Diceros bicornis minor: one gene and its partners. The protein of the gene in region 3 purifies or fractionates together with the protein of the main gene of each other region. This does not show direct contact. Links are inferred from orthologs where the notes say so. Each region holds a gene or a part of one and is shown on either strand. Other genes may lie near its edges. The genes, in order: ZC3HAV1, RPL11, LARP7 and CCNT2.

Evidence for each region.
Region 1: the proteins of LARP7 (region 3) and ZC3HAV1 purify together in Homo sapiens (affinity purification with mass spectrometry; 3 studies listed by BioGRID and IntAct, with this or other methods). This does not show direct contact. The link is inferred for Diceros bicornis minor from reciprocal best matches to the Homo sapiens genes LARP7 and ZC3HAV1.
Region 2: the proteins of LARP7 (region 3) and RPL11 purify together in Homo sapiens (affinity purification with mass spectrometry; 3 studies listed by BioGRID and IntAct, with this or other methods). This does not show direct contact. The link is inferred for Diceros bicornis minor from reciprocal best matches to the Homo sapiens genes LARP7 and RPL11.
Region 4: the proteins of LARP7 (region 3) and CCNT2 purify together in Homo sapiens (co-immunoprecipitation; 3 studies listed by BioGRID and IntAct, with this or other methods). This does not show direct contact. The link is inferred for Diceros bicornis minor from reciprocal best matches to the Homo sapiens genes LARP7 and CCNT2.

What each region holds. Positions count from the first base shown.
Region 1 is NC_080742.1:86,916,929-86,925,083, forward strand, and holds the start of ZC3HAV1 (zinc finger CCCH-type antiviral protein 1), read right to left. Parts: upstream 3,078-8,155; 5' UTR 3,016-3,077; coding exon 2,708-3,015; intron 1-2,707.
Region 2 is NC_080752.1:40,127,406-40,134,970, reverse strand, and holds the start of RPL11 (large ribosomal subunit protein uL5), read right to left. Parts: upstream 3,253-7,565; 5' UTR 3,238-3,252; coding exon 3,232-3,237; intron 2,480-3,231; coding exon 2,329-2,479; intron 1,050-2,328; coding exon 943-1,049; intron 558-942; coding exon 426-557; intron 1-425. Other genes in the region: elongation factor 1-alpha, somatic form-like, read right to left, coding at 5,509-5,630, 6,934-7,168.
Region 3 is NC_080750.1:7,541,993-7,549,928, reverse strand, and holds the start of LARP7 (la-related protein 7), read right to left. Parts: upstream 3,001-7,936; 5' UTR 2,606-3,000; coding exon 2,600-2,605; intron 1-2,599. Other genes in the region: protein ZGRF1, read left to right, coding at 7,590-7,610. UniProt on the Homo sapiens protein: RNA-binding protein that specifically binds distinct small nuclear RNA (snRNAs) and regulates their processing and function.
Region 4 is NC_080749.1:20,538,226-20,545,354, forward strand, and holds the start of CCNT2 (cyclin-T2), read left to right. Parts: upstream 1-3,910; 5' UTR 3,911-3,934; coding exon 3,935-4,092; intron 4,093-4,939; coding exon 4,940-5,021; intron 5,022-7,129. UniProt on the Homo sapiens protein: Regulatory subunit of the cyclin-dependent kinase pair (CDK9/cyclin T) complex, also called positive transcription elongation factor B (P-TEFB), which is proposed to facilitate the transition from abortive to production elongation by phosphorylating the CTD (carboxy-terminal domain) of the large subunit of RNA polymerase II (RNAP II).

The DNA of each region.
Region 1 (8,155 bases), on a different chromosome or scaffold from region 3:
CTATGCCAGGGGACCAGCCCCTAATTAATTAATTTAAAAAAATAAAAATAAAAGTAATGTAAGAGAAAAGAGAACTATAGAATAAACAGGAGAAATCCTATGTATGAATAATAGCACTAGAGAGGAAATTTTCTAAGTCCAGCAAAATGCAAACTGTCCTCAGGCAGAGAACAGTTTATCAAATTGAGCGGTAATCTCAAGATGGGTATCAATTGGTCAACAGATTCCATTAACATGTAACCTACAAAAAAGGTCCTTACATTCCCACACCGCCAAGTTTTAGAAGAGAAGGTTTTATAAGTTGCTAAGGGGAGACTATTTTAAAAACATACTTGGGGAAAAAAACCATTTTCTAGGCTTTCAGGCAAAAAAAAAAAAAATCTCCCAAGAGTCTTTATTATGAGGAAACAATGTACATTAATGGATCAAAAATTTCTAATTCTCAAATTCAAAAGTGATGTAAAAGGAAATTAAAAATGTGACTAGATTAGTAAATGTAAGAAATAAGAATTTATCACTTCACTAAAAAAAATTTAAAAATAAGACTTTAATGAATTCCCCAGAGGATCCATCCAAACTTGCACATACCAAATTATCCCTATATTATACACACTCTTAAAATATAGAAAAGTGGAGGTTAACAACCCAATTTATGAGTTTCAATGGTTTTGATGTTTCAAATCAGGCAAAAAAAAAATACCATAATAAAATTCATAAAACAAAAAACTTAGGTTTCTAAACATATTGTGTGTAAGAGATTGAAACAAAGTTTCTAAGTATATTGGATATGTAACATATCGAAACAATTATAGATTATGCCTGTGTAGGATTTTTCCTGAAAAACCACAAGTCAGATTATAAAACAATCAGGGAAATTTGAACACCAACTGGATACTAGATGATATTAAAATTGTAATTGTAAAAAAATGTGATCATCGTACTGCTGTTATGTTAATAAAATAGAGTTCTTATCCTCTAGAGATACTTAAGCATTTACAAAGCAAATGATCTCTGGAATTTGGTTTAAAATAACACTTTGGAGTTGGGGACAGGGATGGGAAGGGGCCAATAAATGAAACAAGATTGGCCACGGTTTTTGGAAACCGATGAAGTGAAATGATGGGTACATGAAGGTTCATCATTCTATTTCTCTACTTTAGTATATTTTGAATATATCCATAGTAAAAAATTAAAACATAGGAAGCATATGTATTTAAAACTAAAAGTCAACACTAGTTGGTGAATAATTTTTCATAACAGAACAGAAAAAGAGATAACAAAGCCTTCCACTTCTGTTGCTATTCAGTATAGTGAGCTAGAATGTTCCTTCCTTTTCTTTGTATCCTCCACCCTCCCCTCCTTTCCTCCTTCCTGATTTCATCTGTTGTTGTGACTTAGATGACTCCCTCTACACACATAATCCGAAACTCAGAAACAGACTTTCAGATTGGTGCCTCACAACATATTCAACAAATATTTTTTTAAATAACGGAGCATACTCAAGCACTTTTTAAAAATTTTACAGTTTTGCCCTAAACAAATACATTTAAAAAAAATATTAATCTCACCTACCTCATCCATTTAAATTACCTGTCTTTTGTATGTTTTATTACACATATATTGGGGGTAAGTAAAGTTTTTTGCTAACAAGTGCAGGATCAAAAGTTTGATGACCACCATTTTGGACACTAGGACACCACTTCAAGTTTGTGAAGGATGAAGAAGGGGTTGAGGGGACTGTCAGAGAGCCTGCCCTGGGGGAAACAAGATGAATTTGCTTCGTGTTGTCAGGATATTCAGGTACAGATGCTCCTTAGACCCTGGGAGATGAAGAACCTAGAGTCAGTAGGAAGATGTGGGCAGCGGATGTACATATGGAAGCCGTCTTTGTATATGTGACAGCTGAACCCAAGGGAGTGAGCTCTCTTAGGGAGAGACTTGGAAGACAGGTCAAAAGGCTTAACTCAAACCTTGGGATACACCTATATTTATCTGGCAAAAAAGAACAAGTGGCAACAGAAGCAGCTGCCTGAGAGGTAAGCTGCACTGTTTCCAAGTGGTCCCAAGAGCCCGTCAACGGTTCGGGCCACCGCAGTGACACCACGGGAAAGGAGCGCTGGGTGAGAACCATCCATCATTGGCAACTTTGAAGAGGACTCTCCTGGTCAGGGGCTGCGGACTAGCTTCAGATATCAGAAAAGTGATAACGAGAGGAATGGAGGGCCAAGCAGAGATCCCCGGCTCAGTGCGGTGGAGACGGATCCGGGTGCCGAACGCGGCTGGGGTGCTGGGAGGACCGCAACACGCCTAGGGACGAAGCTAACAGAGAGGGAAAGACTCAAGACTCCAGAGAGTAGAGGCATATTCCTTTGTTCCCAAACCTGCCTCCAAATTCTCTAGGCCCTGACTTGCCCAAAAGTACTTTATTCTCATGGGGGTGGGAGTTAAGCGTAGTCTTCACCCGGGCAATATCGCGTTAGCCATATTCGAGGAAAGGTCTAGAAGCATTGGAGGAAAGGGAACTGCCAAGAGTAGAAGCGCGGGCCTAGCAGGGGCTCTCCAAGGGGAGCAGAGAAGTGAGGAGCTGGAGGAAGAGGCTGTCGGGCGCGAGGTCCCCGCGAGGGCGCGCCCCTCGAGGAGCAGCAGTCGCGGCAGTCCTCCCAGACCGGGACCCCGGGAAGCCGCCCCTCCGTCTCAGCGCACTTACCGATCCGACTGCGAATAGTGGCACCGGTCCAGCAGGTTGAGCTTGCAGAGGTGCAGGTTTTCACAGGGTCTCTGGCAGAACTTGCGACGGCAGACCCGGGCTCGAGTGGTAGCCACCACTGACCGGGTGACCCCGGCCTTGCCGCCGGTCTCCAACACCACGAAGCGATCGGGCCCGGCCGCCTCCAGCACCTCGCAGAGCTGCGCCTCGCGGAGCGCGATCTCGTTGAGTAGCGCGTCCAGGGACATGCGGCCCCCGTGGGCGCACAAGATTTTGGTGATGAAGCAGCACACCTCCGGGTCCGCCATGGCGCTCTACGCTGGGCTGGCTGCGCCGCGGGGCTGCTCCGGGGAGAATCGAAACTTACAAGAGTCCCCGGGGGCGGGGGCGGGGGCGGGCGCGGGCGGTGCTCCGGCTGGGCGCGCCCGGGGCGAGCCAGCGCGCACTCTCCATCGCCGTTAGCTGAGCGCAGCGCTTTCGGTTTCACACTCGGCTCTGGGTCAAGAGGCCAGATCGCACCGACCCGGTCCCTGTGTCAGATTTAAAATCTATCGCGACGGCAACCGAATGGAATGAAAGCGAACAAGCGCGGGCAAATCTGCCCGCACCACCCGGACAGCTCCCTCTCAGTTCCAGGCTGCGCGGGGGTGAGGTGCCCCAGCTCAGCGCCGCGAGGATTCTTTCGAAGGAAGAGAAACTAAAAATGATCTCTGGGCGCTGGCAGAGTTTTTATAAACCAGCTGAAAGTGGCGAATGACGCGAGTCTTGGGAACCCCCTTGAGGAGCCCTCTTTCTCCACCCCACACATCCCCTGAACGAATAGACCTGAGTGCGCACTTGCTCCGTGCTGGGCGGTATTGGTGAATCTTCACAACAACTCCACGAGTTAGATATTATCCTCACTCTGTACTTGAGGAAGTAACGAGTAAACACGCACAGCCATCGAGCTGGAGCCCGGATGCTACCCGAGGTTCCCCAAATCTGGCCCCCAGACCCCAGATCGTGGTCCGTTTGGCCAGGACCAACGTACACTTTCTCCCATGCCCTCCTAAAGAACAGCGATTATTACTCTCCTTCCTTTTTGCCTTCTCACAAGCTTTCTGAAGAACCCCGTCTTGACACATTCTTGCCTGTGTCTATCACTAACAGCGGTGTCCCGGACACCGCTTAGTCCCTGGTGGCAAGTACTCACAGACGAGCAGGCTTAGACACATCCCAAGATTTTAGATAGGTTCTCTTTAGGTATTTGGACAAGACCTTTTCCCCCTGCGGGGACCCACGTAGGCCCCAAGAGTTGGTATAAAGATTATTTTAAAGTGAAAACATTTGAGCTACAGATGATGCAGAAAGAAATTTTATCTGAACTTCTCTTAATCTGCTAAAGCAGAGCCTCCAGAAAATACAGCTACCATTAACCCTTTTCCAAGAGAGTTTCCTGTTCATTCAGCTGCCTTGGAGACAGACTGCCCATTTCTATTAGCATCAAAAAGCCCAATAGAACCTTCCATACTCTCCCATTGAAGTCCTAAACCCCACTACCCCTTTTGTTAAATTGAGATATATAAAGTTACTTGGGGCTATTTCAGGAGTTTTCCATTACTGGAACCTCCCCCCTCCCAATGTGTGAACAAATCTTGTCTTTTCTCCTGTTAATCTGTCTATTGTCAGTTAATTTGCAGGCCTCCAATCACTGGACCCAAATTGGAAGAGGAAAAAGTTGGAAGTTGGAAGAGTGTTTTTCCTCCCAACACTCCCAGGTAAAAGAAGTGCGTCACTGATCAGATAAGAAATAAACCTTTTTTTTTTTTTTTAAAGATTTTATTTATTTCATTTTTTCCCCCCAAAGCCCCAGTAGATAGTTGTATGTCACAGCTGCACATCCTTCTAGTTGCTGTATGTGGGACTCAGCCCCAGGATGGACAGAGAAGTGGTGCCTCGATGCGCAACCGGGATCCGAACCGGGGCCACCAGCATCGCAGCGCGCGCACTTAACCACCAAGCCACAGGGCTGGCCCAGAGATAAACCTTTTTTAAAAATGATAGAATTTGGTTGTCAAACTAGAAATTCTTCAAAATGACTAATGGGAATTCTCCTGTTTGGTAATTCGAGGTAGATGAACTGTTGGCTCGGGAATAGAGTACTTTAGTAATGAACACCAGCCAAACGTGGGGCCTGCACAGGATCATCTGACTTCTTGTTCCCTCTAGCAATTTCTTCTACAGTTGCCTTTTTTTTTTTTTTTTGGTGAGGAAGATCAGCCCTGAGCTAACATCCATGCCAATCCTCCTCTTTTTGCTGAGGAAGACGAGCTCTGAGGTAACATCTATTGCCAATCCTCCTCCTTTTTCTCCCCCCAAAGCCCCAGTAGATAGTTGTATGTCATAGTTGCACATCCTTCTAGTTGCCGTATGTGGGACTTGGCCTCAGAATGGCCGGAGAAGCGGTGTGTAGGTGTGCGCAGGGATCTGAACCCAGCGCCGCCAGCAGCGGCGCTGGGGCACTTAATGGCTAAGCCAGGGGGCTGGCCCCTATAGTTACCTTTCAATTCACTTGGCCTTATTTGTGGTCTGACAGGTTCCCAGGGACTGAGCTTTTGTTGTCTAATCGATTAAATTCAGCATAGTATCTTCTGCGTGGCCTTTATGGTAGTTACGCTGAACATGTCGAAATTTAAGAAATAGTCCCTGTACTCAAGGAGCTTGTGTTTGGGAAGACATGAAAAAACATTAAAACATAAGGAAATCAGGGGTTAAATGCTGCAATGGGTATATAGGAGATTGGAAAAGGAGTACGGTTTGGTTAGAGTGGTTAGGAATAGAGATATAAAATCCCCTCAATTCGAGGCCATGAAAAACGATGCAAGGGGTTGTGGGAAGGGAAAAAGCAGACATTTTGGGAAATTTTAAAATTTGTATCGTCACAGGTTGGGTTCTCCAGGAAGCAGATACTGATATGGAGTTAAGGATACAGAAGATTTCCGGGGATGTAACACCAGAGAAAGTCAAGGAAAGAAGCAGGATTGATCTGTGGGAGCTGTCAGGCGGCGATGTAGACCTGACAGTCTCTGCCAGCCCGACAGGGAGCAAGTCTAGCCTTGGGCAGAAAGGCCTAGGCCCTTGTACCCTGCCTTGCTTCGTCATTGGCGGGGGCCATGAAGAAATGTGTGACTTCAGCTGAAACACTGGGACGGATCCTGAAGGAGCTAAAGCTGGAGACTATCAGCTAAACATACTCCTTGCAGCTGGGCAGCAAGCCCTGGCTTGAAGGAGGATCTGAGTAACCCATTATGTCTGCTATCGTGCACCCTTTGTGCCACATGGATCTATTTCCCCATCAGTATTCAGGGAACAGCTCCTTCAGGGCTCTGATGGGCCCTGCTCTTCCTGAAAGAAAACTTAGAGAAGTTAATAGGATGAACTATAGCCCCTGTCACTGCAATTGGTTGCAAGATCACAGCTGGTCCTCATCATATCTGTCCACCACTATCCATTCTAATTCCCCTCACCCTCGGCTACCACCTCACCTGGTCTCAGTAGCTTACCTGAGTGGGCACCCTAAATCCTCATTCCTAAGGGGTCTGAGCATCATCTCAGACCAGGCTTTCTGCTCTTATGTCTATTCACAGTCACAGTTGGGCAAAAGAGTACCAACTGGCACCCAAATAGGTCACCAGAGTCCGTACATATTCCTCCCCAGTCCCTGTCTAACAGCGGCCCTATCTCCTCCTGCTGACCAAGTCAGTTACCTCTGATAATACGGCGTTCCCTTGCCTTACCTGCTAGTCTCTGACCATTAGGAAGCCAAAGTGCCTGGTGGCAGCCATAAGTTGTAGTCCAGTGGGATCTTTGCTGTGTCCCCAGGCAAAAATGTGCTCCTTTTGGAGACCAAGACCTCTAACTCTGCAAAGCCCAGAGTTGTGGGGACAGGGAAGCCCAGTGGGTCATTGGAATGATGCTAAGGGGGCCACTCATGCTTCCGCCCATTGTTTCAAGACTCACGTACTCTTTCTGTTGGGGACACAGCACCATAATCAGACACTAAGTTGTCTGATTGAAGTCATATCCCTTGATGTCCTGGAGGAGATGTCATCACTGCAGTGTATTGCCTTCATGCTGGATCTTGAGCTGCATCTTTAACTGGCCATTCCAATATTTGTCTATCCAGTAGCTTCTGGGTCGTGAGGTGTGTGATATGACCAGCGGATCCCATGTTCATGGGCCCACTCCCCCATTTCCTGTGCCACGAAGAGAGTCCTCTGTTAGGATGCTATGTTATGTGGGATTCCATGTCTGTGGATCAGGCGATCTTTAAGTCCCTAGAGATTGGTGCTATGGAGGTCCTGCAGGCAGGAAAGGCAACCCCATACCTGGAATCTGTCTATTCCAGTGAGAGCAAACTGCTGGCCCTTCCAGGACAAAAGGAGCCCAGTGTAGTCACCTGGTCACCAAGTAGCCTATTGGTCTCCTTAAGGAATAGAGCTTAGCATCGGTCATTATGGCTGGTAGATTGGACATTCAGAGGTGGTAGTACCTATATTCGTTTTGGTAAATGATAGTCCATGCATTGCCTCCATCTCTGTCACCATAGCCTCTTTGTTCAGTTACCCATCATGCAGCAATGAGGGGAAAGGGGTCTGTGACAAAGGCTGGCTACATTAACAAGTGAGAGCTATCACAGTAGGGAAGGATCACAAGGATGCAATGGAGGGTTAGCCTGATTTCCAAGTATGTCAATGCCAACTATACATTTTGGGGTTAGAGGAATGACAACCAGTGGGTTCATGGACCCAGGGGACCCATTGTAAGCTCAACCTCAATCAGGCCTCCATTTGCTCCCACTCTAACATGGGAGCCACGAAGATGCTTCAGGTGGCAGAGTATTGGTGACCTCTGACCTTGTGCCCAACAGTCATCAAAATGTCTGGGTACTCTCTTCTGTCATCCACGTAAATGTTGTAGATCTCCCTGGGGAAGGATTGGAGGAACAATTCTAGCTCATTCTTGCCATCATGTTGCAGGTCCTTCTCCCTGAGGACCTGGCCACCTCTTCAGTCACTGGGTTCTGAGTCCGAACACTGGTTCAGGTACAGAAAGCGGGCCAGGAATTGTGACTTTTTATTGGGGTGACCATCCTCCTCATTGTCCTGTTTATTAATTCTTGTTCTTTTTAGATTACACATGTTAAACAGTATTTTGTGTGCTACCCATCTATTTTCCTCCTAGGGAAACTCTGTTCTATTCACAATCCCTACAGCTCTTTACAGGTCAGGCCCCCTGGCTGCCACTCTGACTTAGTCATTACAAGCCCTGGCTTCTGCAGGAAAGGGCCATCACATGGTGTCTATTGCATCAGGGCCTATCATCCCCATTGCTATTACTGAGCCAGGTTCCAGGACAGCCCCTCCTTCCATCAGTTATGTCCTGCAGGGGAAGCACCACTGAACTTCT
Region 2 (7,565 bases), on a different chromosome or scaffold from region 3:
ACCAAACCAGCTTCTATATCCTCTGGATGGAAAGCCACCCAATCCCCAAGGTCTAAGGGAAGGAGCTGGGAAATGGCAGCCTCAGTGCAGCCAACCCACATGCCAAATGCAGCACCATACACTCTCAAATTTTCAATTCAGTGGCTGGATGGAATAGTTTCCTTCATCTACCTTTAACCTTATCAGTGCTTCCTAGAGCTTAGACTGTAAGCTTCACAAAAGCAAGATCTTATCTACCTAGTTCAGTGCTGGATCCCTCCCTACACCTGCCACAAACAAGGCACATCTTCCCAAGGGGGAGAAGACAAAAGCAGACAACACTCAAAGCTTCAGTCCAACATTTGAACATCAAGATAGCACATATGAAATAAAGGCGATTCTACTGTCCTCACAGACCAGGAGTGGAAAAGACTGAATATTCATACCACGTAGAAGTCCAGGCCGTAGATACCAATGCTCGGGTCATATTTGATCCCCAGATCGATGTGTTCTTGAATTCCAAAACCAAAGTTTCCAGTATCTGAGAAGTTATTTTTTCTTAACTCATACTCTCGCACCTGAAGAGAAACATGCAGCCATCACACTCCTTGTCAACTCAAATTTCCCCCAAATAATTAGTTTAGCCTGCAACACTCAGCACCCAGAAATCTAATTCGACGCAACTGGGCCAGGAACAAAATCTGATTTCCCCAGTACACCAATCACATCCCAACTATGGATTTTATAGAACTCTCCCAACTTTCAAAGGGCAGGGAAAAACCCAGAGAAAGGATCAAATACAGGTTAACCCTGCTGAGTGCAGGAAAAGCCCTTCAGAACTTTAAAAAAAAAAAAAAAAATCAGACCACCAAAGACAGTACATTGTGTAACTACTGCCACTATAATTATCTACATGTGTTAAGCTGGCACTCCAGTATCACCCCACGATGGGATCAGCCTCACCTTTAGACCTTTCTCCAAGATTTCCTCTGCCTTGGCCCCACGGACTGTGCAGTGGACGGCAATCTTCTCATTTCTCCTGATGCCAAAGGATCTGACGGTGTATCTGGCTGCAGGGGGTAACAAGGAGTCAGGTGTTGTCACACTCCCACTGCACTCACCTCTTCCCCACAACATCATCCCCACAACTCCAAAGAGACATTAAGTATCAATCTACTCTAAATGGTGCTGTTCTAACCAGTGTCACCTACATCTGTTATACTGGTCTCATCTGTTTAACAGAGGAAAGTGATTTTCCAACCTCCAAGTCATTCAGCCATCCTCAAGCAATTAAGAGCTCCAAGTCACAATGTCTAAGTCTCAGGAACAGCAAGTTCACAACCAGAATAGGTCCCCAGAAAAAAAGATAACTGTGTTCTAAAGAAAACAAAACATTGGTAACAGCTAATATTTGCTAAAACCTTACTGTACCGTTATCCCCATTTTACAGATGAGATTGTGCGAGATTCACTTGCCCAAGATCAGAGTTGATAATAACTGGCAGGATCTGAACCCAAGAAACTTGTCATATTCCACTATCCTAAAACAATGAAACTTTTTTTGTGTGTGTGAGGAAGATCACAAACTGAGCTAACATCTGCCAATCCTCTCTTTTTGCTGAGGAAGACTGGCCCTGGGCTAACATCCGTACCCATCTTCCTCCACTTTATATGAAACGCCACCACAGCATGGCCCGACAAGCAGTGCGTCGGTGCGCGCCTGGGATCCGAACCCCGCGCCGCCGCAGCGGAGCGCGCGCACTTAACCGCTACACCACCGGGCCGGCCTCAATGAAACTTGAAAAACAAAAAAGTAACAAAACAATAACAACGCCTACATTGTGCTTGATATGTAGCAGGTATTTCATATACACTAACTCATTCCACAATTCTCTCCACAATGTTCTCCACAATCTTATAAAGCAAGCATCATCTTTCCTTTTGTGCAAGTATGCAGCTTAAGTCCACAGAGGCCAAAGTCACAGACGAGCAAGTGGTGGAGCCAGTATTTGAACCCAGTTAGTCAGGGTACACAGCCCTGCTCCTAACGCAGCCTGTGTAAGCCTAACTGCTTATCAGACCTAACACCATGCACTGCACTCCCACCATTTCCACTCCACCTCATCCCCCGTACCTGGAAAATCTTTACTTGGGCTAGTAAAATCTGGTATTCCAACGCCACACCCAATCTTGAAAAGATACTTCTGGGGTAGCTCAGGAAGGCAATGCTTTTAAAGGGTGCCGACTTTGACACTTTCAAAACGGACACTCAACAGGCTTGACAGCGAAGCAGTTAAGAAACACCCAGGCGGGCAGAGCGGCCAGTGCCCCCGCGCCGGCCCCCACTCACCCTTGGAGAACACCGGGGTCTGGCCGGTGAGCTGTTCCAGCACCTTGGCTGCCCGCGTCAGTCTGTCCCCACTCTCCCCCACGCAGATGTTGAGGCAGAGCTTGCGGATGCGAAGCTCCCGCATGGGGTTCTCCTTCTCACCTTGATCCTGCTGCAACAGGGAAGCGCAGGAGTCAACAACCTCAACCCCACCACCGCCAGCCCAGCATTTTCCTACACGGCCTACTGGCGTCTGCCCATCCCGAATCGCAACAAAGGCCGAGGAGTTAAGAACAAGGTACCACCGCGTCTGTCTGCGAGGCGTCAAGACGACAGCTCGGGATCTTGTTTCTCCTCCCCCACTGAAGGATGGGGGAGCAGAAACAGGACAGGCACCTGGACACTGAGGACGAACCCCAAGGGACTCAACGTGCAGGGTGACGGGAGCGCGCCTCGCAGAAGGCCGACGGGGGAGGGGGGCAGAAACAGCACGTAACTGCTCAGCAAGCACGTGGTGCGACGTCGCCCACCCCGTTCTAGGGCAGCTTGGCGGCGCCCTCCCGAAGCGGAGGAAGCGGCTGAGAGTCCCGCGCACCGCGCGCGTCTCCAGCCCGCGGGAACGGAAACAGGTCCGGGCCCCGTGTCCCACACCCCTCCGTGCGCTCCACTCGCCCTCGCTGCAGCCTACGAGCCGCGCTTCTGAGCCCGGCGGGCGGCGGCCCCGAGCCCGCTCCTAGGAGGGCGGGAGAAAGGACGACAGGGTCCAGGTCCGCGCCCTCAGGCCACATGGCTATGCCAGGTTCGGCACGGCCAGCACTGCGGAGTCCGTTGTCCTCGGGCCACGGGCTCCGCAGCCCCCGCGGGCTCGGCGGGCCGTGGATGGAAATGGATGAAGGGAAGCAAACCCCAGCCTCAGCTACTTACCGCCATGGTGGGAAACAGGAAGAGAAAGTGAAGCTTCCGGCCCAGGGCCTCATGGGCCAGGAGGCGGGCTTTTATCCCAAGCTCACCAGAGAGATGAGGGAGAGGAAGAGAGGCGCGTCTGGAGCAGCGCGGCGCCGGCGCCCCCGCGTGGATACTGCTAGCAACTGCAGGCGACGCAGCTGAAGACTGGGACCGGGGTTTTCCAAAAATAGTGTTTAAAGCTCCCTGAACTGGCATTTCCTCGAGCTTCCAGTGCCCATTGACGCCCTTCCCTCCCACAGTCTCAGGACTTGGTGGTTCTTGCGTGATGAAACAGGCAGAACTACATTAACTCAATTATGCAAACTATAAAGCAAAATAATTTATTCTGTAACAGTGTAAACAAATGGAACTTATACAGTTAGAACTGAGTGGTGGTTTAAGAATCCCGAGCTATGAAGACAGGCAGATGTGGTCCTGTCTTGGCTAGCTCATAGCTATGTGACCTGGGGCAGATTACTAATTAAACCTCTTTCAGCCGCAGTTTTCTTCATCTTTAAATTAGGTACTCATATCACATGAGATTGTTGTGAAAATTAAATGAGGTAATCATGTAGAGCACATAATAAGCCCACAATAAGTGGTTACTCTTGTTGTTAATATAAATGCACTCTATCCAAGCAACACCCCTCCCCACAAAATGTTACATATGGTATGTCATCAAGAGATGGTTATCCTGCAGGCACAAAGGTGGCTGGCAGATTAGTCTCTGACAGACAAGGACTCCAGTCTCGGACAACAATAGGGCTCTCTGGTTTGCACTAAATCCTCAGCAGCAGGACCCAAGGGAGTGCCAGGATCCGCATCCCAGGTAGAAGCCGGCCTTGAGTCAGCCAGTTCCTTTCACAGGAACAAATGGGAAAAGGAGAACATACAGGGCCTTGGTGGAAAAGGAGCCAAGCCGCTTCCTTCTGCTGCTGTAATCCCCTTCTCTTATCATCATAGGGGAGGCAGAAGCCCCCAGGCCCTCCCTGTAGGGACAAAAGGGCACTTCTGGGAAGCTAGGCTGATGGAGGAGGGCGAAGACAAAAGACCCCTCCTTTGAGCCTCCTCCATAGAGCACCACCAGCTAGCCTAGAGCTGGGCCCCCAGCCAGACCTCTGGGAAGGCCAGACCCAACAGAGGAGCTGCTTCAAAACTTGTGCTAAAGAGATAAGACAATTGAATGCAACACATGATCCTGGATTTTCTTTTGCTATCAAGTATGTTATTGGGACAGGTCTGTAGACTTCAGAAATGTACCCATGTTAATTTAATGCCCTCATTCTGATTACTTGACCTTGGGTATATAAGAATGCCCTTGGGTTTAAAAAATACACATTCAGTATTGGGGGTAAACGGGCATTATGTCTGCAGCTTACTCTCAAATGGTTCAGAAAAAAAAATGTATATTTAGAGTGAAAAGGATAAAGCAAATGTGGTAAATTTAAGATTTGGGGAATCTAGGTGAAGGATACATGGGACTTCTTGCAATTTATCTGTAACTCTGAAATTGTCAAAGTGCAGAAAATAACCTGAGGGAAACACGTACCTACAAAGATATAACACAGAGCTCATTCTCCAAACTCAGTCTCATTCCCTTCCCTTCCCTAACTTTTCTCCGACAGAACTTCCTCAGGATAGCTCTCTCTTGGTTCCAGCGCCCACACCGTGTCAACTAGAGTAGCTAATTAATAGCTAGTTTATCATGTCCAGCAGGTCCTACTGGTTCACTTAATCTTCAACATCCCTGTGGAGGCAGATACTGTTACTGTTTTCCCGTTTTACGGCTGAGCAGACAAGGCTACACAGAAGTTTAGTGACTTTTATAGACACTGTTTAAATCAGGCAGTCTGAGACCAGAGCCCCAGTCCTGTTCTAGGAGCTGATGAACAAGGCCCGGGCCAAAGGTTTCCCCTCTACACCTCTTCCTCCCTGTGACCCCAGCTCTCTGCTGCTTGCACCAGTCAGGCCCCCAGAAGGCAGGCAGAGGGGCAGAAGCAGACCCAACACCCGACCTGTGTCCTCCTGGCTCAAGACGCCAAGGTCAGCAGAGGCAGAGGCAAAAAGACGTGCTGTACTTTATTCCCAGACCTCAAACTCATCCACAAAGGGAAACCTGCGTGAGCAGGGGCACATTTACGACAGTTCAGGCAAGAGAAGAGCAAGTCCAAGGCTTCTCCTTGACCCGCTCTTTCCCAGGTGTGGCTCCGTGTGGGCTGCCTGTGGCCTGCAGGGGCCCGAAGGAGCTGTCACCACTCACTTCCTGGCCGCTTTCACGGCTGACTTGGTGACTCTGCCACCAGACGCTGCTTTTTTCTCCACAGCCTTGATGACCCCGACAGCCACCGTCTGCCTCATGTCACGCACAGCGAAGCGACCTAGGACACAGGATGCGGAGAAACAAGTGGGGAACACTGCCAGGGCGTAAGCTATGGGACACCTGCACAGGAAGTCAAGTGAGCCATGTAAGTGATACTTTGAGATCTACTTATAGGCTCATTAATTCTCCCAACAGCTCTCTCAGTAAATCGCATTATTGTTCTCTCTTTTACAGATAAGAAAACTGAGGCACAGAAGTTGCAGGTCACCTGGTTTTAATGGTTGAAAACCCAGAAGTCTCACACCAGTGCTTATATTCTCAGCCACTTCACTGTCCTGCTTGCATAAATAAAGGTCACAGGAGAGCTTTGCTTCGGTGCACCCACCACCCTACTGTACTAATGCCCCCAGCCTCCAGGCAACCAGCACATTCTCTGTGCCCATTACAGCCCAGTGGATGGATCTCATTTACATTCAACTGTGAATCTGGCAGTTGCTTCTGGGGGTTCTTGAATGCTCCCCTAACTTCAAACTGTGGAGGGAAAGGCTTTGGCACCTGGCTTCAAGCCTCAGGATTTTTGGAAGGGATAGGAGGAACTAACCCAGCATTGCAAAATTCGTGTAGCAGCCTCTTTGGCCCACCTCTAAAATTAGCCTTTTGAAATTTACCTCCTTCCCCATTAACTGGGAGACCCTGAGGGCAGGGACTTGTTTATTTGTAAATATCTAACATCTAGCCCTTCATATAAGTGCCTACTCCCTATATATTTGAGTTCAGAACCATCTAGGTTAATGGTTGAAGCCCAGCCATGCATAGCTTACTTGGGTAATCTAAGAAACAGACCCCTACATTGCAGCCTTGACCAAGTAAGTCTATCAGGGCCTGAGCCTCTGGGTTTAATGGTCTCCGTGAATGGTTCTGGTAATCCACCAGGTTTGAAAGCTACTCAATAGAGAGAAGGAAGGAAAAAGAAAGTCCCTACTAATCTCTGCTCTATTCCCCTCCTCTCCGTCAGTGCTTCTCACACTGATGTGCATCCCAGTTACATGGGGTCTTGTTAAAACGCAGATCTGAGTTCAGCAGGTCTGGATGGAGCCTGAGATTCTGCATTCCTAACCCACTCCCAGGCGATGCCTGGTCCACGGACCACACTTTGAGTAGCAAGGCTCTAAAGTGGCCCCTGCCTTGCCGTGTGTCACTAGGCAAGCTGCTTTCCCTTTCTGGGCCCTGCTAACTTGGCACTCAGATCCTTCTGACCAGGTTCCACTACCTGGCTCAGGTGTGACACATTGGTCAACTGGCTCCCTGGAGCCAGGAGGAGGAAGGGGCAGCCCTGGCAGTCAGGTGCTGTTGGGCCTTACCAAGGGGTGGGAACTCGGAGAAGCTCTCCACGCACATGGGCTTGCCCGGGATCATCTGGACGATGGCCGAGTCCCCAGACTTCAGGGCTTTGGGGCTGTCTTCCAGCTTCTTGCCTGAGCGCCGGTCGATCTTCTCTCTCAGCTCTGCAAACTTGCAGGCGATGTGGGCTGTGTGGCAGTCCAGGACTGGCGAGTAGCCAGCTGCAATGCTGCCGGGATGGTTGAGAATGATCACCTGGAATGCAGGGTAGGATGGGGAGGGCATTGGCCAACCGTCCTTCAAAGGAGGTGGCCCTAACCAGCTAAGCCGTCAGGTGCCTTGGACACGCTGTAAATTATAGGGAACGAGTGAACATGTATAGGGTAGACCAAGTTCCATGCAAAGCAAATCTCATGCATCCCAATTTAATTTTCACAGCAGGGAGCCTGAGTAACTTACCTGAAATTTCATAGGAAGAGGCCGAGCTGAGCATGAGTAATACTAAAACCTACACACATAGATGTCATTACATGTACTGCTTCTCCCCGCCATTTAGAAAAATGGATTATAATAATAGCAGCTACCTAACTTGTTAAGCAGCCCCAGGACAGCTGTCTTATACGTCACCTCATTTAATGCTCCCAAGATCACT
Region 3 (7,936 bases):
TCTCAGCAGCATCTGCAGTTGATAACTCCTTCCTGGAAAACATTTTTCTTCACCTGGCTTCCAGGAGAGTTTTCCTCCTTCTCAATTTCTTTTTCGGGACCCTCCTACTCTGCTCTACCTTCACATGCTGCCTAGGATTGCATTCAGCCCTGGGCGCCCTTCTTATCGACACACCCATCCTTGCTGAGGGTCCCTGGCTTTCAGCTCCTCGGCTCCACGCTGATGTGTCACCCATCTACGTTCTCCAGCCCCGACTTCTCTCAGTAGCTCCCCATTCCAATATTCGACTGTCCATTTGACAGCTCCATTTGTTCACCTAAAGTAAATCTCAAGTTTAAAATGGCAAACATTAAACTCTCAAATTTTAACAGACCTTTTTTTGCCTAGTTTTCCTGATCTGCGAAAATACCAATTAAAAAATTGCCGAGAGGGCAAAAACCTTGAAATCCTCCTTAATTCTTCTTTTCCTCACACCCTACAGCCAATTCATTAGCATTTCTATGAGCTCTGACTTTATACAACATATCTTGAATAGGAATACTTCTCATTTCTTCCATCACAACCACCTGGTCCGAGCTCTGTGTCTTGCCCGAACTACTGCAAGAGCATCCTCATGTATACTAGTTTATACTCTTGTTCCATTATCATTTCTCCAGATAGCAGCCAGAATAATAATTTAAATATGTAAATCAGAACATGGCAATCTCTTGCACAAAATCCTTCAAAGGTTTCTTAGCACCCTCAGAATAAAATTCTTACTGTGGGCTACTAGGCCCTATTCAATCTGGCCTCGGGATATCTCCCTAACTTCATCTCTTAAAATTCTTTCCGGCACGAGCACTCCAACTACAACGCCCCATCTTTCTGTTCCTTAAAACACGCTAAGGCCTTCCCATCTCCAGGCCTTTGCTCTCGCCACTGTCTTTACCTTTCCTGCAGCATCTATAGGGATTATGTTCTTGTTCATTCAGGTCTTTGAAAATGTCATTTTCTCTACGAGCCTTTCTTTTCTACCCAACCTAAAATATTTCCTCCCTGCCAACCTTACCCCTACCCACTCCTCCAGTCACCACTTTCTATCCTTGTATTCTCTCATCATTACCCAGAATTACAGTTTTACTGTCTGTCTACTTCACTAGAAAGTAAACACTATGAGGACAGGAACTTTAGCTTGTCACGACCCAGGCATTTGGTGAATTAAATAAATAATGTATTTAAAAGGATCTTATAAACTATAAAGTGTTAAGCATTTCAAGTTCTTTTGTAAGAGGGTAGAATTATAAACAAAATACAAATGTGGCCTACGATTATCACTACAGCAGGGTCCACTGCTAACTTTCCCTTCTGAAAACACCAGATTATAAACGGCAGACTACCAGCTCTCCAATTCTTTTCCTTGTCAGAAAATACCACCTAAAGAAGTAGCGGACAGACCTGCATAAGCACAGAACAGCACAGTTCTCCTAGAAACCAGACTACTCCCAGGATTCTCATATCTCAGTCCAGAGATTCTCCTTCATTCCTTCTCCTAGGGATTATTTTTGTGGCTTGGGGAAGTAACTTCAGAAACTCTTACCTAGTGTGCATAACACATATCAGCAATTTGCAATCTTAAAAAATATTTATGTAACCATTATTATCATTTTATCATTTACCAGTCAGTTTAGAACAGTTTATAAACTATTCTAGAAGTCCTCCATCCTTCACAAAAGCTGTGCAACTTGTCTACAAGACAGATTTAATTTTGCGACTGTGATGTCAAAACTTTCAACACTAAACATTCCCAGCCCCTTCTTGTAACATAATATGTATTTTTAAAAAACTGTTAAATGAACCAGTGAAGTCTAACTAGCTTCTAAACAGAGCTTTTAAACACAGAAAACAAGTTACTGTGTAACAATGTCAGTCACTTTATATACCTTGCTTGAAATCCTCACAAGCCCACTAGGTTGTTTCTTCCAACTTCTTTTTATAGAGGGTCAAAGGTTAAGTGACTTGAGCAAAGCTGGCTGGGTAAGGAAGCTCAGGTATGTGTGACTCCCACGTTGCCTACCTTTCGGTAGAACCTCTTGCAAACTGTCACCACGCATTCTATGTTCTGACTCAGGAATTCTTAACCTGAAGTCCATGGAATTTTGGGTGGGTTTCAAGAATTCTTGTGAATCCCATGAAATTGTTAAAAGATAAATTTTAAAGGAAAAGTAAAATCACGACTATTGTATAAATATAAAATGAATACATGTCAAAAATCTTATTTAAGTAATTCATTAGGGAACTAGCTAAGTGTTAAAAATCAGTTCACAGGAGAATTAAAAAACCAGACACACAAATATAAGCTATCAGGAACGGCGAAATGAATTTGTTAATAAACGCACAACCGGTCAGGGCAACAATGGCAAAAATAACTGCAAGACTAATTTCCATTATTATCGTTGGCTACAACTGACACAATTGTGAAATAACTCAATGACAACGACAGGCAGAGATAACCTGGAAGAGGGAGCTACCCAAGACACCCAGTAGTTTTTTTTCTTGGCCATTTCAAAGTCTTTCACAATTTTTCCTAACAAAATTATATGCAAAATGTTTTGACATGTACCAGCATTTTCCGGGGAGGCTCAGCCACAGCTTTTATCACGTTTTTAAAAGAAATGGTGTGCCAAGAAGGTTAAGAACCACTGCTCCAGTCACAGCCACCTATGCAAAGGTACCCGAACGCTTTCGCCCCTCTGTGCGTTTGCTCTGAACGACTCCTGTCTGCCTTGCCTTATAAACCCCACTCAATCTCAAGGCCCCGGCTCACGGCCTCTTCCTCTCCGGAGCCTTCCACCGCATCTCCCCCGATTAACCGCCTCCTCATCCGCTTCCCTGAAGCACGGCTATTGACGCACTCCGTACACCGTATTTAGCACTTATTTGTTAGCTCCCTTCCACAACTGGACTTTCAACTCTTTGCTGACAAACACTAGAGTCCTGAAGAAGGAAATGATTTCATTTTAAAACACAAGTCCTCACATTCGCTATTCTTTGGCCACCAAGCGGCAAAGCTGCGAAGCAAGGCTACTTCCATTTTGACTTCTGCCCCTCTCAGCACCCGTCCCTCCGCACGGACGCCGCCAGGGCGGGGCGGACCCCAAACTTCCAGCGCCGGACAACGCGCGCCCCCAATCGCTGACAACTGGAACTACAAGGGCTGCCAGAGGCCTTCTGCGCGTGCGCACAGAGAACCAGGGCACGCCAACTGACGGGTGAGTTGGAGGGGGCGGGGTGAGAGGGCCTACAGAGGATAGAATGGACTGCATGAAAAAGGACTGAGGGGAATTTAGACCTCACCCGACCTGGGCAACCCTATGGCCCACTTGAACTTACTCCGTTCAGCCCCCAAAATACAGGGCCAGAGACTGCGTCCTTGAGCTCTTTCCGTCTCCCGATCCTTACGGTCCTGGTCGTCTCTGCGTCATAAGAGGAGCGACACCGTTCTCCGCTTCCCGTCGCAGAAGACGGGCCCAGGGGCGGCGCGCCGTCTCTTACGTCACAGGCGTGGGCTGCCTCGGGGGGCGGGGCATCGCAGAACGCGCCCGCCCAAGGAGGCTCGCAGCTAGGGAAGAATTTGATTGGCGGTTTGAGAACGGCGGTTCTGACGAGGGCTCTGGTGGGCGGGCTAAGTATGGGGTCCTGGTCTGGTGCGGTCCCGGGCTAATGACGTCACAGCCTTTCGCGGGAAAAATTCGAAAGTGGATTTCGTGCAATGGACGGTGAAGTGAACTGATTCCCGGGGTTTCCGGGGCGTGAGGGTGGGTAGGCGCCGGGATTTGAGCGACAGGCGGCGAAGCTGATTTGGGGCGAGGGGACCAGAGAATCTGCTCGGCCGGAAGCGGACCGGAGGGTGCTGTGTGGAGCCAGGATTGGGTGGTGACAGTCACGGCTTGGTCGGACTCCCTGTCATAGCTGGTTCCGCGTCCTCACGGCTCTTCCCAGCCCCTGCTCTGCCGTTCCCGCGTACGGGTGAGGACCAGAGAGGGTTTTGCTCCTTGTTTTCAGGACTGACAAAGGGTCAAGTCTTCACTGTCATTTGGTTACACAGGATCCTGGTAGTTAGAATCTTGGCAGATGAAGTGTGGGCTTCTTCTTTGGTTATTTGGACTGAATGGTTTTCTAACACGGTGTTGGGTCCGTGCCTCTGCAGCTTTTAAATCTGTGAACCATTTTGGGATTCGAGAGATCCTGCTTGTTCCAAAACAAAAGGACCAAAAACATCTCGTCATACGTAACAGGAAGAATGGCTCCTAGTTTAGTGAAAGCACCGAATTTTATATATAAATGTATAAAGCAGCATAATAATGTATGTGTATATATGTGTGTGTAGGCATTTATGTATGTCTGTACTTATATCATTGCCACAGAGCATCTCCACACCACTTTAAAAACTTCTTTGGGCACTAAACTCACCCTGCAGAGATGGGTCAGTACTTGAATTGTTTGACAGATGTGGACAGATGAAGACTTTCAGAAAATGTTTTATCCTTGCACCTCACTTAAATATATGATGCTGTTGGCTAAAACCATTTTTCCTGTTTAGTTGTAAGAAAGGAGTGTTGACTTTCCTTTGAAAGTGGAAATTAGGGCTCTTCTAAATCCAGCTAACCTTTTTTTTTTTTTTTGAGGTTTAATCCTATAATCTAATTTACCATTTATGAGAGTTTGGACCTTCTCAGTTCCTTTTAAGTAAATCCCACAAGTAATATCTCTAATTTAGGAAAACAATGGGGAATTTATTTTGCAATTCCTAAGTAGCATATAAGTAATTCTAAACTAATAAATACTGGATTCCTAATCTGTAAATTGTGGTGATAATATCTACTCTTCAGGATTATGAGACTGATGAATATTATATGTGAAGTATCTAGTCCCAATTCCTGCCTGACATAGTAGGTACTCAATAAATTGTCGTATAATGTACTATTTGTGAGTATGAGCATCAGAGTTTAGGCTGCTTAGTTTTGAATTCTGAATCTTCCATTTGTTTACTTTATGATCTTGGGCAACTTACTTACCTATTACGTGCCTTAGTTTTCTTCTTTGTAAAATGAATATGAAAAATAGTATCTATACCATAAGGTTGTGAGCGTTTGCAGCATTTTAACACTGTCTAGCATATAATTGCACAGAATAAATGATAGCTATTGTTAAAGGGATCTAAGATTAATAACTGCCACATGCCCAGCACTGTGTCTACACCATGTAGTCTCATCTACATACATAGGATGTCCAACCCGTTCAGTGGCTGGGAGCAAGTTGCTTTAAAAGCAGCAGTGAATGGTGTGTTTCTCTGGACCTCTCTGTTATCTTCTTGGCATTCATTAGGCGTCTGACAATTTCTGTGGGCTGGAGGGGAGGGATATAGGATATGGGAGTTATATTTCTGAAAGGCAGTGCCTCTGTAGGTCTGGGTCCTGTCCTGTGAACTATGTTGTGGGGCATTAATTCATATCTCATTTGCCTACTTCTTACCCCATCCTTTCTCCACACAGCAGCTGGAGCAATCTTTGTAAAACCCCAAGTCAGATAATGTAATCTCATTCTTAACATCTTGCCGTGGCTTCCTACTGTCTTTGTAGAAAGTCCAGACAACTCAGCCTAACATAGAAGGCCCTCTGAATCCTGTTATTGCTCACTTTTTCAGTCTCCTGTCTCACTACGTTACACTCAACCTCTTAGCCGTACTACTGAGAGTTTCTTGATCACGCCTTGCTCTGTCTTCCACAGGCCTTTGTACATATTGACTCATATTTGGAAATAATTCCCTGGCATCTTCCCTTGGTTAATGGTTATTTCAGTGTCCAGCTCAAACATTACATCCTTCAGGAATGCCCTAGACCGAGTTGGGTGCCCCTCCTGTGCTTATTCCTGTCATATTTTATTGTAATTACTGTTTATCACCCTGCTATACTGAAAATTCCTTGAGATTAGGGATAATATTTCGTTCATTTTAGTATTTCAGCCTAGCACAATGTCTGGCACATAGTAAGTACTAAATAAATATTTGTAATTTATATATAATATGTAGGTAGCCTATTTTATATATTTTATATGTATCAAGGAGAAATTGAATCCAGAACTGCAAATTATAGCTTTATTGAATCCCCCAGGTCTTTTAGGGCCATCTTCTCAAACTCGAGCGTGTATCCCTGTCACCTACAAGGCTTGTTAAAACAGACTACTAGCCCTGATTTAATAGGTCAGGGGTGGGACCCAAGAATTTGAATTTCTAACTAGTTCCCAGGTGATGCTGATGCTGTTGGTGCAGGGATCATACCTTTGGAACCACTTCTTTAGGGATAAAGTAATAATTTCCTTTGGTATTTCTGTTTACTTCTTCAAGTCACCATCAGTGATTTTAGATTTCCAAAATTGCCCACAATAACAATTTTTTTTGTGTGTGTGAGGAAGATCAGCCCTGAGCTAACATCCATGCTAATCCTCCTCTTTTTGCTGAGGAAGACCGGCTCTGAGTTAACATCTATTGCCAATCCTCCTCCTTTTTTTTTATTCCCCAAAGCCCCAGTAGGTAGTTGTATGTCATAGTTGCACATCCTTCTAGTTGCTGTATGTGGGATGCGGCCTCAGCATGGCCGGAGAAGCAGTGCGTTGGTGCCCGCCGGGGATCCGAACCTGGGCCGCCAGTAGCAGAGCACACTCTTAACCGCTAAGCCACGGTGGCGGCCCCCACAATAACAATTTTATCCAATGGCATAGGATAACTACAGTACTCATGGCAACGATGTTGAAGAGATTTTTCCTTGCGGAAGTATTATAATGTATATTTGGTCCTAGATACTGTGGTATATTGACTCTAAGATGTAAAAGGAAAAATTTAAAACGCAAGGGGGCCATCTTGTGGTGGCCATAGCAATTCAAAAAACTTTAAAAATTGAAGCTCTTTCTATAAGGAACCAAACATGGAGGGGAGGGGGAATCATATTTTCTGATATATATTATGGCACTTGGAAAAATGCTTGCGAGTGCTAATTATTTTGTATATTTTACTTGGTTTTCTCTACCTAGCAAATTCTTTTTCCACAGTGTGGTGTCACTCTTTTCATATGTCCTCGGGGGCAGATAATTTCATTATACCTCTGTTTCCCTTGGTTACATGGAACTTGGAACTCTTAGATTCCTCTCTCTGGTCAAGAGTTTGTTGGGGGGGGCTGGCCCCGTGTCCTAGTGGTTAAGTTCAGTGCCACTCTCTTCAGTGGTCCGGGTTTGGTTCCTGGGTGCGGACCTATACCGCTTGTCAGCGGCCATTCTGTGGCAGCTACCCACATACAAAATAGAGGAGGACTGGCATAGATGTTAGTTCAGGGTGCATCTTCCTCACGTGAAAAGAGGAAGATTGGCAATAGATGTTAGCTTAGGGCGACTCTTCCTTACGGAAAAAAAAAAGTTTGTGGGGAAAAATTGTATTTGATATTTATTCTTTTCGTAGGGGTTGAATAGTCCTTGTCATTTTTCATTTTAGGTAGCATAAATAGTTGAATAACTACTGATTATTTTCTGGACCTGACTGGTTTATAAGTTCAGAAGAAACAATGGAGAGCCGAGAATTTATTGTAAGTCTTTCCAGTTTTTGCTTATTTCCTCTTTTCTTCCTTCCTTCCTTCTTTCCGCATTTCATAAATGTCTTGCTAGGGTTGCCAGATTTAGCCAAAAACAAAACAGAACAAAACAAAATAAAAAAAACACCTGAAACCTAAAAGTAGGACACTCAGTTAAATTTGAGTTTCAGATAAACAGTGAATAATTTTTAGTTTAAGTATATCTGTCTCAAATATTGCCCTGTATTTTATCTGGCAACCGTATCTCTTGCCTACTATTTGCTTTTGTTATACAAAGTCTTTTGGCACAAATTCTTTGGAAGCTTGGGATCAGGAAATAA
Region 4 (7,129 bases), on a different chromosome or scaffold from region 3:
CACTTTTTCAAAATATACCCCAGAAAAAAAAAAATCCCATCACCATCAGATTCCAAAGGACAACCATTCACAGCCATCCAAGCATTTCTCTTCCTTGTACAGTACCCTTCCCCACATTTTTGATCTCTCCTAAAAAGTAAGCCAGCTCTGATTCAACTCAATTTATATTACCCAACCAGAATACTTAAACCTATGTTCAAGGTAATTACTTAAGATTAACTTAATTAAAATAAATACCCACTTATTTTGTTTAACTTAGAGACTATTCTGAGGCTTTTTCCCAATCAAAATTGAACAAAAGTGAATGGAAGTTGCCATTTCTACACAACACTGCTCACAACCTAATAAAAAATTTAAAGTTTATTTTTGAAAAGTCAATACATGAACATGTTAGAAAAGTTCAAAACGATCAAATTCAACCTATGTCTCCCAGAAGGAACTAATTTTATCTGGTTTCTTTGTGTGTATTCTTGCAAAGATAGTCTATGATTATAAAAGTATTCAAATGTACATATTCCTTTGTTCATTTTACCCAAACAGTAGCATCTTGTTTTTTTTTCCTGCTTAATACCTTAGTGGTCATTCCACATGTAAGCTGCTGCCTTCTTTTTGTAACAGTCTATTTTAAGTTGATAACTTAAATATGGACACACTCTAAAGCTCTACATTTTACTCCCTCCTCCGTCACCACATTTTATGTTTTGGATGTCACAATTTACTTCTTTTTATCTTGTGTATCCATCAACAAATTATTGTAGTCATAGTTATTTTTACTACTCTTGTCTTCTAATCTTCATACTAGCTTTATAAGTGGTTAACCCACCACCTTTACAACATTAGATTATTCTGATTTTTACTACATATTTACTCTTACCAGTGAGATTTATACTTTTACATGTTTCCCTTTTACTAACTAGTGCCCTTTCATTTCAGCTTAAATAATTTCTTTTAACATTTCTTGTAAGGCTGGTCTAGTGGTGATGAACTCCTTTAGCTTTTATTTGTCTGGAACATTCTTTCTTTCTCCAATTTATGAAGGACAACTTTTTCAGATAGACTATTCTTGGTTGGCAGTTTTTTCTTTCAGCACTTTGATGCCTTCTTGTTTTTAATAGCTGAATAATATTTCATCACATAGACATACCATAATCATCCAATCCTCAATTCATGGACAGTCATGCTTCCAATCTTTTGCAATTATAAATTGCTACTGAGAATATCCTTATGACCTATGATGTGGAACATCTTTTCACATGCTTATTTGCCATCTGTATATCTTCTTTGTGAGATGTCTGTTCAAATCTTTTGCCTATTTTTAAATTGTATTCTTTGTTTTCTTCTTATTGAGTTTTAAGAGTTCTCTGCATATTTTGGATACAAGTCTTTTATCAGATATGTGTTTTGCAAAGATTTTCTTCTCGTATTTTCACTCTCTTAACAGTGTCTTCTGCAGAGCAGAGGTCTTTAATTTTTGCTTATGAAGTCCAACTTAATTTTTTCTTTCATAGATCATGCTGTTGCTGTTCTACCTAAAAACTCATTGCCAGACACAAGGTCACCTAGATTTTCTCCTATGTTATCTTCTAGAAGTTTTATAGTTTCGCATTTTACATTTAGGGCTATGATCCATTCACAGTTAATTTTTGTGAAAAGTGTAAGGTCTGTGTCTAGATTGTTTTTTGATTTTTTTTTTTGCATATGGGTGTCCAGTTGTTCTAGTACCATTAGTTGAAAAACTATCCTTTCTCAATTCAATTGCCTCTGCGCCTTTGTCAAAGATCAGTTGACTATATTTGTGCAGATCTGTTTCTGAGATCTCTATTCTGTCCCATTGATCTATTGTGTCTATTCATTTGCCAATATATGCTGTCGTTGCCAACACATACTGTAGCTTTGAGGTTAGGTAGTGTCAGTCTAATTTCTTTGGTACCATGTTGGCTATCTTGGGTCTTTTGCCTTTCCATATAAACTTTAGACTCAATTTGTCAATATCTATAAAACAACTTGCTAAAATTTTGATAGGGATTGCATTGAATCTGTAGATCAAATTGGGAAGAACTGACATCTAACCATATTGTTTTCTGATCCATGAACCCAAAATATCCTTCCATTTATATCTTCTTTGATTTCCTTAAACAGAGTTTCGTAGTTTTCTACATATAGATCCCGTATATATTTTAGATTCATACCTAAGTATTACTTTTTGTAAACGGTATTGTGTTAATTTCAATTGTACATTACTGATATATAGGAAAACAATTGACTCGTATATTAATCTTATGTCTTACAATCCTGCTATAATCACGTATTAGTTTTGGTTTTTTAATACTTGGAGATTTTCTACATAAACAATTGTCATCTGTGAACAAAGTTAGTTTTATTTCTTCCAGCCCTATCTGTTCACTTTTTGTTTCCTTTTCTTACTGCATTAGCAAGGAATTCCAGTACAATATTGAAAAGAATGGCGAGAAGGGACATCCTTGCCTTAGCAGGAAGGCTTCTAGTTTCTCACCATTAAGTATGATGCTAGCTGTAGGGTTTTTATAAATGTTCTTTATTAAGTAGAGGAAGTGCCTCTGTATTACTAAGTTGCTTCAAGTTTTTATTATGACAGTGTTGGAGGTAGACACTTTATAAACGTTGCTTTAAATCAATCTATCCTGGAACTTCCAAGCAGCATAAGATGTGAGGCAAGCAAGGTAGGTAAGAAATGAAGTTTAGACAGTTGTTCATAATAACTGCCTACTGCAACAAAATCAATATCTCAGTACTGTAGTGTAATGGGGACAGGCAGAGCCCCTAAACGATGACAAAAGCCTGGAGCTTTAATCAGGAACTCACTTAAAAGTAGTATCTGTTGCGTTTTTTTAAAAAAAAAAAAGTATGTCTGCCTATACTCTGTAGTCTTTGGCAAATAGTTAAAATTTAAAACTTAGTCGGCTCAGACCCAGAGACTGACTCCCAGAGTGGAGCTCTGCGGTATTTTCTTGCAGGGACGGGAGAAGGGGTTAATCAACAAGTGTGTGCGCGGTTACTGTATTAAATACTAAAGATAAATTTTTTACTCAGTTCCTCTTTACTATCTGCTTCTCCTTAACCTTCTCTTTTAAATCATAGCCTGGTTTAAAAACACACTACCGATAGGGACTAGAAATTCAGTTCTAGCTACTAATTGGGTAAGTAACCTTAACCTCTAGCAAGTAACCTTAACAAATAAACCCACGGTCTGCCCAGTTGTGGGATTCAAACATGATAACGTAGGAAAAAAGCACTTAAGTGCGGCACAAACATGGAACGTTCCTATGCACTCTTTCCCAGGAAGGTCCTTCCCAGAGCTGCCCGTTGGGCGGAGGCTGTTCCTCAAGGACACGGGAGCCGAAAACCACGACACTGCGCGGCGAACCAACAGCAGGGAAAAATGGAAGCTGTGGTGTGAGACAAAACAGGAAGGATTTTCTCTTTTTAAAGGGCCGCCAGACTCCCAGCCCAAGAACTCGCCCGGATTTCAGAGCCCACGCCCAACCCACGGCGCAGCCGCGTGCCCCCCTCTCGCGGGACCCGACCCCAGGCCAGCCTCTTCCCTCCTCTCCTCCCCGCCCCTTCGCCCCGCCAATCCTAGGTCCGGCATGCACCGCGCCGACCTTTTCCTTCCGAGACGACCCCCACCTTCGGCGCCTCCAAATGACAAACTGCGCGGGGCATTGTGGTCCCGTGCGCGAGAGCGACGCAGGGGTCCGGAAAAAGAAAGCAAAAGACTAGGGCGAGCCGGGAGGGCGTTCCCCCGCGCATGCGCATGGGCGGCGGCGGGGGTGAAAAGGGGCGGTGCGTCGTCTACGGCGAGCGGAGTGGGGCGGGGTCGTGCGGCCTTGGCGGGGAGTCCGCGAGCCGGGAGGGGAGGGGGGAGGGTGAGGGAGCGGGCGGAGGAGGAAGTGTCATGGCGTCGGGCCGTGGAGCTTCTTCTCGCTGGTTCTTTACTCGGGAACAGCTGGAGAACACGCCGAGCCGCCGCTGCGGAGTAGAGGCGGATAAAGAGCTCTCGTACCGCCAGCAGGCGGCCAACCTCATCCAGGACATGGGACAGCGTCTCAATGTGTATCCTTTCCTATTCTTGGCCCTCCTCCGCTCACGCCCTGTCCTCTTCACTACTCGCCCGGTCGCCGGGCCTGGTGCCCCGTGAACATGGCGCCGCCACCTCGGCCTTCCTGGGCTTTGGCCACGCCGTAAGGGAAGGCAGGCTCGGGCTCGGGAGGCCGCGAGCGGCCAGCGGAGGAGGGGAGGAGGAGAGGCGTCCGGGAATGCGGGCTGGGAGGCTGCGTTGTGTAATCTGTTTGGGGCCGCGCGTGGTGGCGGCGGGGGTTGGGAGTGCCGCCCAGGCGAGAGGGGGAATCTTAGGGATTATCGCAGAAGAGAGTCGGCTGCTTCGACTTCCCCTCGTCCGAGAAGGGGTTGAGAGGTAGGAGGGTTCGCGGTGCTGAAAGGCGTTAAGTGTGCTCCGCAGCCTTTCCCCGCGCTGCTCGCGGGTTTGATGGCGGTTCTCTTGTACCTTGGGAGCGCCCTGGACGGAGGGCTTTTATGTTCTTGGCGTGGTTTTGTATGGGTGTGCGCGCGCGCGTTGCAACTGTGTGATGTTGAGTTGAGTCAGTCGTAGCCATTGATAAAGCCTTCCTGGGCTCGCTTAATAGCAATATTAGAGTGGAATGCTCAGCAGTTACTATTATTACTGTTTGTTTGGCGTCGAGCCTTCTCTCTCCCTCGGCACCCTCCGTCACAGCCCTGCGGGTTTTCGGGGTTTGTTTTTGTTTTGTTTTGTTAACAGTTTTTGGTTTGGGTTTGAGTTGGAAGCATTGAAAAAAAACTGTAGGTTGGGAGTTTTCCATCAAAATTATTTTGGAAATGAGGTCTTGTTCTTCTCAGATATTTCCTAAATGATACGTTCCAGCTCTCAGCTTACAATAAACACTGCGATTGTTTATATGCACAGATTTTATATGCACCATTCTTTCACCAAATTCAATAGAAATGTAAGTACTATTTTATTGTCTGTTTTTACTACCACAAAATCTTAAGGTAAATCGATACGCAGAAAGAAGTTAGTTGATCATTGATTTTATTGTTGGATTTAGTGTTGTAAGTTAACAGTGAAGGTAATACGCATGATAAATTTTTTGATTCAAATGCGGGGTTGTTGGTTGGTTGGTTTATTAATTTGTGATGACAGGCTGCTAGGCGCTATGTTAGACTCTGCCAGGTCTTTTGAGCTAAAAGATAAAAGAAACGTTTCTCTACTCGGAATTATTACATCAGTGTTGATTTAAGTTTTTCATTTAAATTAATCAAACTTTTGAATAATTTCAAACTAATGTACAGTGTAATTTAGGCAAGCCTAGTCATTCTGTTGTGTATCTTAATCTTATTCGACTTAAATTGTTTCAAATATTGTGAATTGGGCTTAATTTAATTGCAGTATTCTTTTGAAATGACCCTTTGAAAGAGTTGAATGTTCAGCAGAAATATTTCATTTGCTAACACAATTTCTTAAGATGTCAGACGTTCCTGTTGATCACACTTCAGCATTAATTGTCTACTTAAATTTTTGGTGATTCAAATGTCAAATCTTGCCTCAAACATGCTATGTCAGAGTTTGAGTATGTATATATAGTTTTGAAGTAAAACTTACCCTCGAATACTAAGGTACTGATTTTGAACATAACCTGTAAATGTTGACATACTGAGTAGCGACGTTCAGTTGAAATTTTTATTTTAAGTTACGAAAGATGTAACTTTGTTCTTTTCACAGTAACATGCTGTAACATATTGTCTTGCATCTGTTAACAAAGAAAATTGTGTATTTAGAAATATTTAACCCCATCTTAATTCTCATTATATTTTTGGCTCTTTTTATCACAGCTATTTTTAGAATGCAATTCTGAAAGGTGTGTGTAGAAAAATAGACTGTGTAAGACTATGCTATTTGTGGATTGTCATTAGGACCTTTTTGCTAAGAAAACAGTCTTTGAGAAGGTCCTTGAAATATTTTCTTGGATTGGACGGAAAAGCTTCATGGTTTAGATTGATTCCTATTTTAATCTTTTCTGATCATAATTCTGATTTAGTTTATCAGATTAGCATGTAAGTTTGTCTTGAACAATATGTATTTTTGTATACGTTTTGGTCTCTTGTGATCTCCATTCCTTCTACTCTTTCTCTTTTAAATCTGTGTGGTTTTTGCTTTATTTCCATTTTCCTAGTTATTTCTTGTGCACAGAACTTAGGTCAATGATAGTGTTATGGAAGAGAGAGGAAGCCTTTTTGGTAATAACATTTAGATTGAAGGAATGAAATTTAAATTGTCTCCAAAGGAAGTAGTGAACTAATGGATACTAATATAAATGTGGCTTTCCCTAAGCAGCCCTTGAAAATGTTGGTCAAATCACAGGTCAGAATAGTTCTGGAAATTCTTGATGTGGGTACAGATGTCCCATTTACAGATGTCCCTGTAGAAAAGTAAGAATCAGGCTTACTTTTCTACTTCTGGTAAATGATCTCACCACAAAACTTCATTTTTGTTTTTGAACCCTCCCTCCTTCATAATTTGTCTCTATGGCCTGGTTGGTGTACTTTAAAACAAATTATCTTATTTTCAGCTAAAATTCACAGTTTTAACTTTAAATTGACTGGTGAAGCCCAGATTGCTTGGATTCTAACTTTCACTATTTTATTTAAATGCCATCATTCAATAAAAAAACCAGAATATTAATTTTTAATACCCTACTTAGTGTCTTATGTGTGTATGAAGGTCAACTTCACCATTTTACATTGAGTCATTATTAGGATAATTGAAATCTGCTGTTAATTTCTACTTTGAAAAGGAACCTTGTACCCTTCATATCTAACCTTTGTCGTCTTTACCTTTGCTACTATATCAAAAGTGGTTTTAATATTTGTGTTGATGCACTTGCATCAATTGCACAGCCTCACTCTTTTATCTTTTTTCTCCCTATTCTTTCAGGGTGAAGGGGGTGGTCTCAAATTGAATGTGAGTCACTTTTAAATTCATATTCCCCCACATCGTTGGGAAAATTTTTCTCGTAGGGTTATAATGGAATGTCATAGTAAGCTTACAAAAAGC